Arabidopsis thaliana: one gene and its partner. Each later gene encodes a partner of the first gene's protein in a complex. Each region holds a gene or a part of one and is shown on either strand. Other genes may lie near its edges. A codon is read from its position in the direction of its gene.

Evidence for each region. Proteins that work in one complex are often made in the same cells at the same time.
Region 2: the proteins of MYB66 (region 1) and EGL3 are in contact, whole or in part, in a crystal structure (PDB 7FDL), measured with the Arabidopsis thaliana proteins. Residues at the interface, in NP_196979.1 of Arabidopsis thaliana: Gln77 (codon at 2,257), Glu78 (codon at 2,260), Leu81 (codon at 2,269), Arg84 (codon at 2,278), Lys87 (codon at 2,287), Leu88 (codon at 2,290); in NP_001185302.1 of Arabidopsis thaliana: Tyr81 (codon at 2,522), Leu84 (codon at 2,531), Ser85 (codon at 2,534), Val120 (codon at 2,639), Ser123 (codon at 2,648), Phe124 (codon at 2,651), Ser153 (codon at 3,286), Leu160 (codon at 3,307), Leu161 (codon at 3,310).

Annotation. Positions count from the first base shown.
Region 1 is NC_003076.8:4,762,859-4,766,502, reverse strand, and holds MYB66 (myb domain protein 66), read left to right. Parts: upstream 1-1,679; 5' UTR 1,680-1,764; coding exon 1,765-1,909; exon of another isoform or gene 1,910-2,173; coding exon 2,174-2,303; intron 2,304-2,510; coding exon 2,511-2,847; 3' UTR 2,848-3,131; downstream 3,132-3,644.
Region 2 is NC_003070.9:23,597,716-23,603,713, forward strand, and holds EGL3 (basic helix-loop-helix (bHLH) DNA-binding superfamily protein), read left to right. Parts: upstream 1-1,697; 5' UTR 1,698-1,935; exon of another isoform or gene 1,936-2,088; 5' UTR 2,089-2,093; coding exon 2,094-2,212; intron 2,213-2,400; coding exon 2,401-2,673; intron 2,674-3,221; coding exon 3,222-3,318; intron 3,319-3,423; coding exon 3,424-3,495; intron 3,496-3,577; coding exon 3,578-4,315; intron 4,316-4,436; coding exon 4,437-4,856; intron 4,857-4,947; coding exon 4,948-5,019; 3' UTR 5,020-5,449; downstream 5,450-5,998. UniProt on the Arabidopsis thaliana protein: Transcription activator, when associated with MYB75/PAP1, MYB90/PAP2 or TT2. Involved in epidermal cell fate specification. Negatively regulates stomata formation but promotes trichome formation.

The DNA of each region.
Region 1 (3,644 bases):
GTTGTATATAAAATTACTACCCCTCTTATATATTGCCTCAACTTCCAGCGTTAAGAGTTTAATATGTCTAGAATTTTAAATGTGCCAGCTATATCAAAATATCATTGCCTCTGTTTTTCTTTCATTAGGAAGAAATATTTTTTTTAAAAAAACCATGTACAAGTATCATTGGATATGTGATATGCCCAAATAGATCATTCGAATTTTGTATGCAGAAAACTCTAATTCTTAGTTATGGATGCAAAATATTAATTATGGATCTTATTATTATTGTTTGTCATATTGCTGATAAGATTACTGATATAGTCAATTACTGAAAAGAAAATCATTTTGTTAATCTTGAATAAATAAGTCAGCAAAACAAGATGTACAATAGCAAAAATATCAACAAAATAAATTCTTTTTTTTCAAACAAAGTTAATATTTGCTTACAACACAGATTGGAAATTTCAAATATCCATCGCACATGCTATGTGACAGAAAAAAAATATGAACAATATACGTGATTATAAATTCAATAATCAATAGTAATAGTATCTATACGTAAATTAAAGATATTTGGTGGGGGCACAGAGATCAAGAAATTTTAATGATAAGAGAAGGAGCTTCTATTCTCTCTTTCTTTCTAACAATAACACTGTTTTTTTTTCCCCGTGAAGAATCCTAATCCCAAGAGAGTCAAAGTGTCAAACCATCTTCTAATTGAATATCTCCCCTAACTACAATTCCTAACTCTCATGCCACTAATCAATTACTTATTGTACATTTTTCTTTTTTTAATTAGTAACCAAATTTACAAAATTAACTCTAGGAAATCGTTTAATCCAAGATTCCCGGACGTTGGTCCAAGGGTATCACTCTACAAAATAATTATAAAAAATGACGAGGCATTTCATTTTCTAATCAATGTATTTTCTGATAAAGGATGTCATATAAACTTGGTATCTCATAAATAAAGTATCTAAACTTCAAAACGAACAACTACTATTACTTGATGAAAATAACAACACTATTATAATTAATGGTTAGTTGAGAAACAATACATAAAAAATTTGATGGAACTATGAGAGCCAGCCAGTTACTATCCTTCTCACCTTCCAATGGGTTGCGGCAAGAACCTTCACAACCTCCTTTATATTTGCGATGTGTATCTAGTCTTTTGCAATGGTCTCAAAACACTTTGGGTTTCATAAGTTTAACTATAATGGTGTCCCTGATATTTTCGGTCTAATATCTCTTAAAAAAGAAAAATACTTATGATTCATTTCAATTAATCAAGGTTCAAGAAGATATATAAACACTAGCCCTGACACATGAAACTTCGATGCCGAAAAGCTCTAAGATCAAAGCCGAATCTTTTTAAAACATACACGTGATTTTTGTGTCTCCCAAGACCATCTTAACCGGTCCATGTTTTCATGTTTTAGTTAGAAATCTAGATTAAGTCATTAAACTAATCCGTATCAGTAATTACCAGCTTGCATCTCAGAAGTCCATTATTATTTACATATCATCATCACATGCTAGACACAATCAATACCTTATGTCAATATCTAAAATAAGTCTATAATCATTAATACTTGTATTTATACCAATAGTATATCGTTTATTAAATATTATTCATACTTTATACATAAATATTCCACTAGGTTCTGAACTTGTAGTACTACTATTAATAACTCCGTCAAATAACTACTCAAAAGAACCTCTTTATCTCTCTCGTTTTATGATCTCTCTCGTCTATCATTCAAAGAAACAAAAAGAATGAGAAAGAAAGTAAGTAGTAGTGGTGACGAAGGAAACAATGAGTACAAGAAAGGTTTGTGGACAGTAGAAGAAGACAAAATCCTCATGGATTATGTCAAAGCTCATGGCAAAGGTCACTGGAATCGTATTGCCAAAAAGACTGGTCTCTTTCCTCTCTATCTCTCTCTCTAATCGTATTGACATAATTTATGAATTCTTTGTCACATGATTTTCTTTTACGAATGGTTTAAAGTTAAGGTTCTATATATTATATATGTTATTTTAGATTTAACTTTTAATCTATGTTAATAGAGTCCATATATCGCAAAAGCAACTTGAATCAGGATATTTATCTAGGGTCACCTTTTTGTTGTTTTTATTTTTATGAATTAAGGTCCTCAGTTAAATAATTGTATATGTGTGTTAGGTTTAAAGAGATGTGGAAAGAGTTGTAGATTGAGGTGGATGAATTATCTCAGCCCTAATGTGAAAAGAGGCAATTTCACCGAGCAAGAAGAGGATCTTATCATTAGGCTCCACAAGTTGCTTGGTAATAGGTATAACTTCATTTGCTCAAAATTAGTTTCTCTACTCAATTAATCATAAAAACAGCTATTTCTATCCATTTTGTATCAAGTTAAATAATCATAAATATTCGTGATTGTCTTCACAAACTTGCTTGGTAACACATGTTTTTATTCTCAAAATTTCAATACATTATATTTCACATGATAATTATATTGTTTATCTGTGTGTTTAATTAGGTGGTCTTTAATTGCTAAAAGAGTGCCGGGTCGAACGGATAATCAAGTGAAGAACTATTGGAACACGCATCTTAGTAAGAAACTCGGAATCAAAGATCAGAAAACCAAACAGAGCAATGGTGATATTGTTTATCAAATCAATCTCCCGAATCCTACCGAAACATCAGAAGAAACGAAAATCTCGAATATTGTCGATAACAATAATATCCTCGGAGATGAAATTCAAGAAGATCATCAAGGAAGTAACTACTTGAGTTCACTTTGGGTTCATGAGGATGAGTTTGAGCTTAGCACACTCACCAACATGATGGACTTTATAGATGGACACTGTTTTTGATGTGTTTTCTGCTTTTGTTATTTTAGTATTCGTTTATGTTTTGTTATTTTCAAAGCTGATCAAACACTAATACATCAACAGTCTTAGATTAAAAGTTGTTGATGTGGTAGTGTATGATTGGCTAAGTCTATTAATTAGGTGAACTTTCTTGGGTTAACTCTAATGTATATGCTTAAAAACTCTATATGCATCGATTAATGTTTTAAATGTTTCTTCAATTTCTTCCTAAGCAAAATTTTGGATTTTCTTTTGTGAATTGTTCATATAATCTTATTAAATGTTGGTTCAAGATATAAGCTAAAATTAAAAGAGTCGAACGATAACGGTAGGTTAGAAGGAGTATAGTTTATTTTTATTTTTATTTTACTTTGAGACGTACGTCCCTTAATTAATCTTCAAATTTGAAAAGAAGAAATTTCCAATTAAGTGGATACTACTACGTACCTTTTTGTCAACTAAATTTCGATTGTAGTTAAAACGATGCTAATGTGTATGTAAACGAGAAATTAGACAGAAACCTTGATTGCCCTGGCGAGTTTACTTGAAACGAACAAAATTAATACTAGTCAGACAATATAATGGGTCAAATTGTCACACTTCCCTAAAAAATTCTATAAATTGCTATGACAAAGCTGTCCCCCTTCTTAATAGTTTAATTTATGTTCTGTGTCTTTGGTTTTTAATATGTTCTTTGAAAGCTTGTCCCCCACTCCTTCCTTGATTATAATTGCTCAGACAGTTATATACAATGCATGAAACTATAGTAGTATATATATTCTAATTCTAAAGGAAGGTTT
Region 2 (5,998 bases), on another chromosome or scaffold:
TTAGATATTATAATGAAAGATTTATTAGTTGTGTACTAGCTAATGGTTAATATGTCATATGTGTAACAAAATGAGGTGTATATTTAGTTTGTTTTTTTGTTTTTTTGTTTTTTGTCCAATGCATTAGAAGTACTGTCCAGAATTGTAGTATTTCACTACATTTTTATAGTCAAATTATATATATTAAGCAAAAGTCAAAATGACCCTTTTTGAGCTGAGAGCCGGAGACTATAGGCTACAGAATCTAATGTTTGCGTGTGTTCACGATGACCACAGTGTAACTAGATGACATATCTTTTAGGAAAGTAACGAAAAAAATAATCAGCAAAGAAAAACTATTTAAGAAATTACTGAAAACACAGACGTTCACGTTGATATAAATGTACAAATCTTCATTTATCAGGTTATTATGTTTTATGAATCATACAGTTAGTACATGAAATAAACAATATCTGACTCCGTTTTTCAACGTACAGACACGACAAGTAGTCCTAGTTAGGGGTGATAATTTTGGGAGATGCGAAGAATTAATTAAGAGCATGCACATAGCATATGATAATAATGACTCTTGGTTTCTTCTTTATTAATCATCTCATTTAAATATCATTTTCTCGTGATTTTGATCAACATAGGTTGTTACATAGCTAAACCCATTATCAATCCCTTACCTTAGAATTGAAGTCAAGGAAGAATACTAAACCTTACATTATCTTTAGATCCCAAATTCACTCGTTCTTGATAACCTTATTGTCTAACTCCATATATAATTGGCTCGTGTACGCATCTTTAATACAAATAATTTACGAGGTTGCGATTAATTAAAATGAAGGTGCATAGAAAATTAATTAGCAATTATACAAATGTTCTATGGTATTTCCGAAGATTCGAAAACAATGTAGAATATATATATTCAATGAACATAGTATATATTATATTTTAGTTAAACCATACAACGTAATTTAGTCAATACTAGAAGCTTGTCTCTCTCTCCAGGGTATCTCCTCGAGGCATAACATTAATTTCATGTCTTTCTTCGTGTTTCACCATTAGGATTTGTTCTATCTTAAAATCAAGTTAATATTTGTGTATATATTTGACCAGTAAGGCAGTAACATATAAACATTGCTTATAAGGGTGGCAAATTGGTTTGGTTGGATTTGTAAGTGTTATGCCTATGAATTTTTTTTTTGGTTCAAACTCTGCTTAAAGTCTAAAGACCTATATTATGAGTTACTAAAAAAAGTTATTTCCTCCGTTTCAAAATATAAGATGTTTTAAATAAAAATATAAAAATTAAAAAATCAAAATATAAGATGTTTTAATTAAAAATATAAAAATTAAAAAATATTTTTTAAAAAATTCAGCAGATTATAAAAGCTGATGCATAATATAAATATGTATACAATATTAAATTAATCTATAATTTACATAAAAACTTGAAAATATTTTATATTGTGAAACAAACAAATTTCTTCAGAACATCGTTTATCATGAAACGTAGAGAATAGGACATATCATTGATAGAAAAAAGATTTTAGAGATGGAAAAATAACTAATTTCTCTTAACAAAAATAAATTTCCAAAAGGAGAGTGGTGCTTGGAACACCGTATTCAAAAGGGTTATACACTAGACACTACTTTTTTTTTTTTTTACCATCTTGTTTTATATATATTTATTTAAAATTCCTCGTAAAGTTCAGTGTTTTGTGATTATATACAGTGTACACACACCTAAAATAAGTATCCATAAAGAGATTTGGTCATTCGGACACCGTCCTTTTCTCTCAACTCAAAGCTCAATTCAACCACAACAGATAGTAACTTGAAAGTCACAAATATTTAATATTTTCCCATTATAGAAGGTTAAAAAAAATAAATATATTCTGGGTTTTGTTGTCTTCTTCTTTCTTCCTCAGGAAACCAAACCAATGTCATGTAAAAATCACTAACTCATGACTAGTCATAACCTTTAAATCACTTCTGCTTTTTTTCTGTTTCTCTTTTGATTTATTCAAAGACAACAAAGTTTTGTTTTTGACAAAAAATCTGATCTTTGTTTGTTCGTTTGTTTGTTACATGGGGATGAAGAAACAATGGCAACCGGAGAAAACAGAACGGTGCCGGACAATCTAAAGAAACAGCTCGCAGTTTCAGTTCGAAACATTCAATGGAGTTATGGAATCTTCTGGTCTGTCTCTGCTTCTCAACCAGGGTACAATCTCGTAATCTTTATCCTTCAAATTAACTTTTCTTGAAAATAAAGTTTTGTTTGAGACATTCTTGACTTTAGTCCAAAACTCAGATAAAACTTTATCCTTACTTCAAGATTTCGATTTTTGTTATGTTTTCTCGATTAATCCAATTTTTCTTGGCTATCTTTTTTGTTTTCTCTAAACGAAGAGTGTTGGAGTGGGGAGATGGATATTACAATGGAGACATAAAGACAAGGAAGACGATTCAAGCAGCAGAAGTCAAAATTGACCAGTTAGGTCTTGAGAGAAGTGAGCAGCTTAGAGAGCTTTATGAATCTCTCTCCCTCGCTGAATCCTCAGCTTCCGGTAGCTCTCAGGTCACTAGACGAGCTTCCGCCGCCGCTCTCTCACCGGAGGACCTCACCGACACCGAGTGGTACTACTTAGTATGCATGTCTTTCGTCTTCAACATCGGTGAAGGGTAATTCCGTCTCTTCCTCATAATCCTTTCATTTCACCTTTTTTAAAAACAAAAACCTATCTTTCAGAAAAATTTCTTTTATGAAGAATATCGTTTTTAAATTATAGTATTATTTTATTCGTAGACATTATAAGAAAATGTAAACGATACCAAAATTCTAAAAAAAAAGTATAAGGGTATGTTTTATTTTGTCTCATAAAAAAAGACAAGAACACCCTTTATTAGCTTGTCTCCTTCATTTCTTCTTCCATGTGAGCTTATTCAGAAATCCGACATGTACGAGTTTAATTATTAACAATGCAATTATCCTTTATATTTACTTAATTTTTTTTATGTTTGTAGGTTTTTTTAAAGTATACCTCTTTTTAATCTTAGAAGACATACATAGATAGAAATGCGAAAGCACAACGGAAATAAGTTTTTACTTCATTTGCATAATTGCATTATACATTTGCTATTCAAAGAAAGTAGTAGAAAACTTTTGTTCCCATTAAGATAAAGATTTTGAGATACAAAACATAAAGGGTATTTCCGTCTTTCTAATGTAGAATCCCCGGAGGAGCGTTATCCAATGGAGAACCAATATGGCTTTGTAACGCTGAAACCGCCGATAGCAAAGTCTTCACTCGTTCTCTTCTAGCTAAAGTAAGTTTTTTGCAATTGGAAACGCTAACGCTAGAATTCAAGAACGCTATAACTGAAAACGCTCTTTTTTTTTTTTTTTTTCGTTTGGCGTTTTGCTCTTTAAAGAGTGCTTCGCTTCAGACAGTGGTTTGCTTCCCGTTTCTTGGAGGAGTCCTTGAGATTGGCACGACCGAACATGTAAGCCTATATTTCCTATTTTTTTTCCAACACTATCAAAACATTCTTAAAAGTACCCAAAACTTATCTTTTGTTCTTTTAGATTAAAGAGGACATGAACGTGATACAAAGTGTTAAGACGTTGTTCCTTGAAGCTCCTCCATATACTACAATATCGACAAGATCAGACTATCAAGAAATTTTTGATCCCTTAAGTGACGATAAATACACTCCGGTGTTTATAACCGAAGCTTTTCCAACAACTTCTACTAGCGGGTTTGAGCAAGAACCTGAGGATCATGATTCGTTCATCAACGATGGTGGTGCGTCTCAGGTACAAAGCTGGCAGTTTGTGGGTGAAGAAATCAGTAACTGCATTCACCAATCGTTAAATTCAAGCGATTGCGTTTCCCAAACGTTTGTTGGAACAACCGGGAGACTTGCTTGCGATCCAAGGAAGAGTAGGATTCAACGGTTAGGTCAGATTCAAGAACAGAGTAACCATGTAAATATGGACGACGATGTTCATTACCAAGGCGTGATATCGACGATTTTCAAAACAACGCATCAGCTAATACTCGGACCGCAGTTTCAGAACTTCGATAAGCGGTCTAGCTTCACAAGGTGGAAGCGATCATCATCTGTGAAAACATTGGGAGAGAAATCGCAGAAGATGATAAAGAAGATACTCTTCGAGGTTCCTTTGATGAACAAGAAAGAAGAGTTGTTACCGGACACACCAGAGGAAACCGGGAACCATGCCTTGTCCGAGAAGAAACGCCGCGAGAAATTGAATGAACGGTTTATGACATTGAGATCAATCATTCCCTCAATTAGTAAGGTAACCGATTCTAGCAAATCTGTTTCAGTAACGTTTTATGTTTATTTCTTGATAATAGGAAGACATGTTTAAATATAATGCTCTGAAGGAACTAAGCTTGAGTCTCTTGCTGATTCTACAGATTGATAAAGTGTCGATTCTTGATGATACAATTGAGTATCTTCAAGATTTACAGAAACGGGTTCAAGAGTTGGAATCTTGTAGAGAATCTGCTGATACAGAGACACGGATAACGATGATGAAGAGGAAGAAACCGGATGATGAGGAGGAAAGAGCATCAGCGAATTGTATGAACAGCAAAAGGAAGGGGAGTGATGTGAATGTAGGAGAAGATGAACCAGCTGATATCGGTTATGCTGGTCTAACGGATAACTTAAGGATCAGTTCATTAGGTAACGAGGTGGTTATTGAGCTTAGATGCGCTTGGAGAGAAGGGATATTGCTTGAGATAATGGATGTGATTAGTGATCTCAACTTGGATTCTCACTCGGTTCAGTCGTCAACCGGAGACGGTTTACTCTGCTTAACTGTCAATTGCAAGGTACAGTCATTAAACCAAGCTTGATTTATGTTACTCAACCGGAATATGAGCAAACCGAAATGTGATATGTAATGTTTAATGTTGATTGCAGCATAAAGGGACAAAAATAGCAACAACAGGAATGATCCAAGAGGCACTTCAAAGGGTTGCATGGATATGTTAAGGATTCAAGGTTTAGATTTGACAAAATTAGCTTTTTCTCTGGTTTGGTTTCCCAATTTTCGGTAATCAGTGATTCTAACCGAGTTTTTGTGATTTTGAAGTTTTGGAAGATCCTTAAGAATTCTTGAAAAATCGTTCCTTTTGGCTCATTACGTAGGAGAAGACAATAAGAAATTACTTACTTAGCAATTAGCATACTATGAAATTCAATTATGCGAAATATGAAAACCACTCGTAGTAGTTCGTGCACTATCATTTTTAAAAGTAAGTAAACTAGAACTTTTTTTTTGTTGTTGAAAGTAACTTTTGTATAAGTATTTGTAACGAGATCATATTTTGTGACTAGTTCAAGTTCGACCAAAAACATTATAGTAAAATCTAAAGAGATACTACATAGCCCGATTCCAGTATCTTAAGTCTTCAATCTCACTTCAAATATTCTTTATATGTTTTTAGAAAAGTTATGTAAGAAATTAAAAAAATATTTTTAGAAAAGTTAAAGATAGAAATGGTGGTCAAAAGCTGATAAAAGTGTTCGCAAAATACACTGCCTTATAGAGAAAAGAAGTAATGTCATTTCAAATAATTGCATCTAACGCCACTGAGATCTCACTTCAACATGTGTTACCATTTTAACATTAACTTTTTATTTCAAAAAGAAAGGAAGAAAATTGTAAGCACAAGGACTATACTGTATTTGGATTTCGTTTGGTAGCATCAAAGTAACACTCTCATTTTAGTAAGAGGTTAACTTTATTGAAAATACACATAATGTGGGGTTAGAAATTGTGTTGAACAATTTCTTGATTTAGAACGAAACTTAAAAAGAGTGGAAATTCTTTAATGGGTTGGTTGGCATGGTAGGTGGCCATTAAGAAGATCCATGAATTGGTGAAGTTGAGGTTTATATCATGTATTAGCCTCGGTATATAGTGTGTAAACCTTGATATTTAGTATGTAGAAGTATGACTATAGCTTGT